2 linked regions of the Caenorhabditis elegans genome follow. The protein of the gene in region 1 purifies or fractionates together with the protein of each later gene. This does not show direct contact. Each region holds a gene or a part of one and is shown on either strand. Other genes may lie near its edges.

What was found.
Region 2: the proteins of rbf-1 (region 1) and aex-6 purify together in Caenorhabditis elegans (affinity purification with western blotting, with the first as the bait; one study listed by BioGRID). This does not show direct contact.

The regions. Positions count from the first base shown.
Region 1 is NC_003281.10:6,673,743-6,677,669, forward strand, and holds the start of rbf-1 (Rabphilin-1), read left to right. Parts: upstream 1-2,017; 5' UTR 2,018-2,245; coding exon 2,246-2,489; intron 2,490-3,927. UniProt on the Caenorhabditis elegans protein: Rab-3 effector.
Region 2 is NC_003279.8:13,543,341-13,547,267, reverse strand, and holds the start of aex-6 (small monomeric GTPase), read left to right. Parts: upstream 1-2,079; 5' UTR 2,080-2,083; coding exon 2,084-2,155; intron 2,156-2,203; coding exon 2,204-2,361; intron 2,362-2,997; coding exon 2,998-3,112; intron 3,113-3,247; coding exon 3,248-3,360; intron 3,361-3,415; coding exon 3,416-3,540; intron 3,541-3,815; coding exon 3,816-3,880; 3' UTR 3,881-3,927.

The sequences.
Region 1 (3,927 bases):
ATTCTTATAATTAAATTTATTAAAATGTTCAAATTCAACAAGACAAACCATTAGACACTTGATTAATATTTATTTATTTAAATTTCTTAGAATTTAAATATTAGGAAAATGTATTTAATTAATTTATTTATTAATTTATTTACGCTCGCGAGGAGATGTGGAAAAACTTCATTTTTCAAATTTAATTCTTGTGTTTGAATATATTATTACTTAAACAGAGTCAGATCAACTGAAGTTGTCTGAATTATCGATAGAATCAGTCTATAAAAAGAAAAAAAACAGTATTAATTCTAATAGGAGCCGTTGAAAATGTTGTAAGAGCAGGCCTTTTGTTTTTTTCCAACCGAAAAATCTAATTTCAGGTAGTTCGAGAGCCAGAAATCGAAACAGTCAAACATTTTTAGTTCACCAGCACCTTTTTCTGTTGCTCAATAAAACCGGCGTTTTGTTTTCAATATGAATTTTGTGTACCTATTTGTTCACTACACCTTGAACACTGAATTTATATATAATGCCGAGTATATATATATATATATATATACTCCGAGTATATATATATAATGCAAAGTATATATATATATATATACAATATTTTAAAAATTAACTCTAGAAGATTACTCGCTGATTGGGGACAGATCAACAGCCTTGTTTTTCATGTTGTTTTTTCTTCATTTCTCACATTTGCCTAGTAGGTTCGCTCGAAAAGGTCAATGAGAAGTTTTTAATATTCTCATAGACAAGGAATTATTCATAAAAGTATATGTACATGTATTGTTGACGATCTACCCAATATCAAAAAAATTATTTTTGAACAACTAAGTTTTATTAATGAGAGAGTTGTTCAACATTCTTCAAAAATCCCAGTCGGGTTATCCCAAAAAAGAAAAAGATGATGATGATGCTCTTGGAGCACAAAAACGTAAAAAAATGTTTTATATGCCATTCGGTTCCGGCATGCATTCATGTGCTACCACATTGAGATGGTTTCACTTCTTTTGCACTGCTTAGCCCTGTGGAACGTCATATTTTGTTTCCAAAGTAAATTCGAAAGTCACGTGTCTGCTGTTCAACTTTTTTATTTGTTTTTTAGTTCAGTTGTCACATTAAGTCGTCAATTTTTAGTGAAAACGAAGATGCTCAACTGCTCGAGTTGAAAAGTTTTTAATGTGAAGTTTGTACCTGGAATCTGACAAGACGTAGATCTCAATAATCAGATAAAATATATCAAAATTCTTTTTGACAAGCTTGTAGTTACAGTAATTCAGAAAAATTTAATTTTTTATATTTCAAGGTTTGGCAAACTTGAAAATATCAACCAATTTTTTTTCGAGTAAACATTTTTCTAGGATGCTTTCCGAAAATTAATAAACTTTGCATGTTAAGAAAATTTGTAAATGAGATCCCTATTAAATGATTTTTTTAAAATCCCAAAAAGTAGCTGATTATGTGTGTTTTAGCAGCTGCTAACTTCAAGATGACGAGAGATCATTTCATGTTTGCGTCACCAATCCTAAATGATTACCATATCTTTGCAGATACTTGAAAAAGACAATTCATTGCTATTTTCGGAGGCGCTTTCCGGGCGACAGGCGGACGGGCGTGATACGTTCCCCCTAGACACCAATTTTTGAATCTTGTTTGTTATCAAGAGATCTACAGGAATTCAGAGTCTTAAAAAATTAAATGCAATAATAAATTTGACTTCCTAGTAGTATCCATCGAAAACAAAAAGTGTGAAATCAGTATCCAGATACATTATCTGAAATGTCTCCAAGGAAACAAACGTAGACTTTTTCCTAGTACACCAAACTCTTTTTTCTCTCTGTTTCATTTTTGTGTCCTTCATCATCATCTTTTCTTCTACTCCTCGAATAATTAATCCGAATACACCCTCGTTCATAGAGACGTGGCGATCGGGCGCCAGGAGCATGCGTTCTGCGTCTCTTATTCTTCCAATGGGCGGAGCCATAGGGGCTTCCACCACGCCCCATCACACAATCTAGAAGACTTGCTGTTGTGTTGGACTGACTCTCCGTATGTGGAGTGTAGAGGGCTGCTAAAGTTGCTCGAAAAAATTCGAATTTGCGCTCGGTTTTCTGATTATTTTTGTTCGGAGCAGTTTGCCAACCACTGGGGCAGGTGTTGTTATTTCTACAGCTGATTTCTCTCCTCTATCGTCTAAATCTCTTCTATTTCTGAAATATTCTGATGAAGAGAACGTCAGTCATAACCACCAAATGCAATAATGACCAAATCAACGAAACTTCGACACTGTAAACAGAAAAAGAAGAAACCGGAAAAGACTCCGAAGGGGAATCCGCCGATTCTTATAACCGAAAAGTCCATTGAAGACGCTGCAACCACTACATCGACTACAGATGCTCTTCTCGGATCACCCGAGGGCTCACGGAGCAAATCTCGAAAGCTTAAGCTGTGTTGTTGTACGGCTCAAGCAGCAACATTATCTCCTCTTGACCCAACTTCTTATGGTAATTGTTTGTTTTCTTCGACTTTTTTTTTGAATTTCCCATTGAACTAAAAATTACTATCAGAAAACCCATTCTGATGCTCGTAGAATCCTTCGCTGAACCCAAGATTAAGAGATTAATATCGAAAATGGCGCAATATTTTTTCTTCCTCATTCGAAAATGATTTCTATTGAAATAGGAAACAAATTCTTGAACTCTACATTCTGAATTCAGGTGGATTTTGAAAAAAAAAACACTTTTTAAAAAGAAATGTCTTTTGACGATTATTGTGTTTTTATTTTCTAAGAGTTTTTCCGCGAACCGTGGCTAGACCCATTAGGAAAAAGCCGATGTATGTTTTTAATTGCAAATATTGGGACTCCGAAGACTCCGAGGTGTATAGGCCGGTCCACATATATCTGAAAATTTTAAACTTGTACCCTCCCGAGCTCATCTAACCAATTAAACTTTCCACAGAGAAATATTTACATTCCCTATTGAAAGTCAGCTCACAAAATTTCAATTCAATTACTAATTTTCGAAAACTTCCTGAATTTTATCCTTTCCTCTCGCATTTTCTTATTTTAAGCTCGAGATTTTGTTTACAAACATTCCCCAATATCCTCACCCTCCTTGCCAAAAAACAAAAAGAAACAGATAATTCATCTTCCTCTCAAAAACCTTTCGACATGAAAATTAATAGTTTCCAAAAAGTCGACAAGTCTCGACATACCATGACTGGAAATTCGTCTTCTTTTTTTTTTGCTAACATGTAAAAAGAAATAGTGGAAATCCGGTTTCTTTGCCTCCAAGATGCTTGTGTTCCTTTTCTACCCGCTTCACCCGGAAACCCTGGAAGAGGTTCCCACGGTTTTTGGAGAATAAATTGCGATTTGAGCGAAAAAGGAAATGGCGAGAGAGACCCAGGGAAGAAGAAAAAATTCCCGAAAAGTGGTTCTACATGAATTTTTAATTTGAATTTGAAACAAGAAACATGCACGGAAGCAAATAGTGTGACTTATGAGTGGGAAAACGTTTGAAATAAATATAATGGGAATTTATTAGCAGCCGACGTCGTACGGGTTTTTTCTGTCGTCGACATCTTACGAGATTCAAAGCCCAATTACTTTATCTACTTGAAATTTTGTGTCTTAATCCTTTCAAGATTGTATTAAACTTTTATTTAACTTTTGCTTAACTGAAAAATGTCTAAAATGACGTTATTGTGTCCACATCAGATGAGCCCCGCCAGCCGAAGAATAGGTTTGAGAAAAATTGGCGAAATTCAATTATCCCCTCTGTTTTTCCGTGTCTCTATGTCTCTTTGTCTTCAAGTGAAAGAATGTGAAAATGAAGTGAGATGGGGGGCTCCGTTCGGGTCAGAAGAGCCAGCCGTTTTTTCTGAGCCAAATAGACAAGATTATCTTAAAAAAGAAAGAATTGAATCAAATTGAAAGGA
Region 2 (3,927 bases), on another chromosome or scaffold:
GCTCTCAATTTTCCCGCTTTTTTCCGGGTTTTTTGCTCAATTTTTGATTTTGGTGAGGCTAAGCCCAGGTTTTGTAGTTTGTTGTTTCATTATTACCCGAATTTATAATTTTTTGCGTCAAAATTACGGTACCCGGTCTCGAAATGACAATTTGTTTTTTAATGCAAAATGCAAAAAAAAATTTTGATTTTGGTGAGGCTAGGTTTTGTAGTTTGTAGTCGCTTCGGAACACAAAATTCTTTAGAAACAACATTTAACGCTATATACAAAAAAAAACTACAGTGTCGATTTACGGGCTGTCCCATTACAGTTTGATCTACAAAAAATGCGGGAAAATTCCCCCAATGTGACGTCAGCACGTTCTAAACCATGCAAATTCAGTTTAGAATTCCCGCATTTTTTGTAGATCTACGTAGATCAAACCAAAATGAGACACACTCTGACACCACGTGGCGCCCGATGAATTTTTATTTAGCCCCGTAAATCGACACTACAGTAGTGATTTAAAGAATTACTGTAGTTTTGGCGTTTTGCGCGTCAAATATGTTGTTCGAAACGCATTCTCGGAAATTTTTGATACGGTACCCGGTCTCGACACGACGACAAATTTTCGATAAATTTGAAAAAATGTGAACCTTTAAAGAGTACTGTAATTTTAATAAAAGCATCTAAATTTCAGAAAATCGTTATAAAAACTATGAACATTTTTCGAAAATCCGGCAGCCGGCAGCAACCGAAGCTACAGTACTCTTTAAAGGCGCACGAAATACGTTTCGGGACCCAAAAAATTCAAATTTATTTTGATATGGCTGAGGCTAGAAAAATATGTAGTTTGTAGTCTTTTTCCATTTTATTAAATACATTTTTTAAAGTTTTTTCTCACAAATAAAATCCTACTCATACGATTTTTAAAAAGTTTTTAAAAGCCGAGTTTTTATTTAATTAAGCTGACTACAAACTACAACATCTTTTAATTACTGTAGTTTGTAGCCGAAAAGTGCATTGCACTTTTTTTTGATTTCAGCATTATAATTATAAATTAGTATACTATAATAATAAGTACATATACATTGTCACCTGACATTTCCATATTCTTTTTCTTTTTAACCTCTCCTGCTCACACACTCTCTCATTTTCCCATTTCTCTTCCTGATGAATCGAATTAGTCACAGAGATGTCTAGAAATTTGGCGAAAAGAGCCGCTTGACTTTCCCTTTTTTGTTGCGAACCTTGAGTGAGGCTCAGGATTATTGTAGTTTGTAGTGTAAGCTTCACCAAAATTTTTACAAGCAACATGCTATTTACAAAATAAATTTAAATTTGGTTGAGGCTCCACACTACAAACTACAAATCTAGTTTAGCCTCAACCAACTAATTTGGTTGAGGCTCAGGATACTTGTAGTTTGTAGTTTCAGCCTCACCAAAATTTTTACAAGCTACATGCTATTTACAAAATAAATTTAAATTTGGTTGAGGCTCCACACTACAAACTACAAATCTAGTTTAGCCTCAACCAACTAATTTGGTTGAGGCTCAGGATACTTGTAGTTTGTAGTTTCAGCCTCACCAAAATTTTTACAAGCTACATGCTATTTACAAAATAAATTTAAATTTGGTTGAGGCTCCACACTACAAACTACAATTCTAGTTTAGCCTCAACCAAAGAAATTGGTTGAGGCTCAGGATTATTGTAGTTCGTAGTGTAAACCTCACCAAAATTTTTACAAGCTACATGCTATTTACAAAATAAATTTAAATTTGGTTGAGGCTTCACACTACAAACTACAATTCTAAGTTTAGCCTCAAACAACGAAATTGGTTGAGGCTCAGGATACTTGTAGTTTGTAGTTTCAGCCTCACTAAAATTTTTACAAGTTTTTACACTTTTTGTATTATACAAATTGGAAATTGGTTGAGGCTTCACACTACAAACTACAAATCTAGTTTAGCCTCAACCAACTAATTAGGTTGAGGCTCACGATTTTTGTAGTTTGTAGCCTGAGCCTCAACCAACTTTTAACACATGTTTTTGTCCGTTTTTCTCAATTTTTTTTGCTCTGAAAAATGATATTAATTAAGGAAGATGGGTGACTACGACTATCTCATCAAATTTCTCGCGCTCGGCGATTCGGGAGTCGGAAAAACGTCGTTTTTGGTGAGTTGTAGTTTGTAGTGTGTCAGCCTCAACCAACAATAATTTCAGCATCGTTACACGGATAACACGTTCACCGGACAATTCATTTCCACTGTTGGAATTGATTTTAAAGAGAAAAAAGTGGTCTACAAGAGTTCACGTGGCGGATTCGGTGGTCGTGGTCAACGAGTTTTACTTCAGTTATGGGACACTGCCGGACAAGAGAGGTAATCGCTATATTGTAGTTTGTAGTTTGTAGTTTGTAGTCTATGAGCCTTAACTGAACAAGAAAGAATTTAATTTTCTTTTTTTTTTTTGCGAAAAAAAAGTATTTTTTTTCCTATGTAGAATGTTTGATTGAGGCTCACACTACAAACTACAACTTTTCAAGCCTCAACCAAATTTTTATGTTGAGTGAGGCTGAGATAACCGTGTAGTTTGTAGTTTTATCTTACAATTCTTCACTCATTTTTCGTGGAAAATTTGAATTTCAACAAGATTTTCACGAGAAATTCGAATTTTTTAGTCTCTGAGTCGAAGTTTTCTCCGGAAACTTGAATTTTTCATCAAATTCCGCCACTTTTTGGATTAAAATTTGAAAAAAATGCAAAAATGTTGCATTTTCCGAGCTAATTTCGCGTTTTCGTCCACTACAAACTACAAAACTAGTTCAGCCTCTACCAAATACGTTGGTTGAGGCTCACACTACAAACTACACTTTTCAAGCCTCAACCAAAATTTAAAGTTGAGTGAGGCTAATTCTTCACTCATTTTTCGTTGAAAATAAGAATTCCAACCAGATTTTCACGAGAAAATCGAATTTTTTAGCAAAAAATGTGTAGTTTGTAGTCAAAATCTTGCAGATTCCGTTCTCTAACAACAGCGTTCTTCCGAGATGCAATGGGATTTATATTGATCTTCGATATTACAAATGAGCAATCATTTCTCAATATTCGAGACTGGCTATCACAATTGAAGGTATATTAGCGATTTTTTTTTCAGAAAATCTAAAAATTATTGATTTTTCTGAAAATTTTACTTTAAATTTGGCTGAAAAAGCTGAAAAAAAAACAATTTTTTTCAAAAAACCCCGAAAAATATTAAAATTTCCAGGTACATGCCTATTGCGAGCAACCTGACATTATCATATGCGGTAACAAAGCAGACCTCGAAAATCGGCGTCAAGTCAGTACCGCCCGTGCAAAGCAGCTGGCTGATCAATTGGGGTACGTGGCCGAATTTTTTCTCTTGTTTTTCTGCACGGCCACCACGTAATTTCAGGCTGCCGTACTTCGAGACGTCCGCCTGCACATCTACCAATGTGGAGAAATCTGTGGATTGTCTACTCGATTTGGTTATGCAAAGAATTCAACAATCTGTTGAGACGTCGTCTCTTCCGTTGTCAGGTATAGACTACAAAAACTACAAACTACAATAGATATTTGTACTCTATAGTCGTTGCCATTACCAAAAATAATAGTAACTACAAACTACAATTTCGGCGAAGCCTCAACCAAACTACAAAAATTGTTAAAATGATTGGTTGAGGCTACGTGAAAAGTGTAGTTTGTAGTCTCTTGTTTTTTTCACGCGAATTTTCTACTACAAACTACAATGTGTTTTGTAGTTTGTAGTGTGAGCCTCAACCACATTTTCACTACAAAACTAATTTTTTTTTCAGAATGCCGCGGAGTCAGCTTGGACGGAGACCCATCGGCCGCTTCTTCCTATTGTGCAAATTGCTGATTATCGATTTTAAGGTCTTCTAACAAAATGAAATAGATAGAATTTTA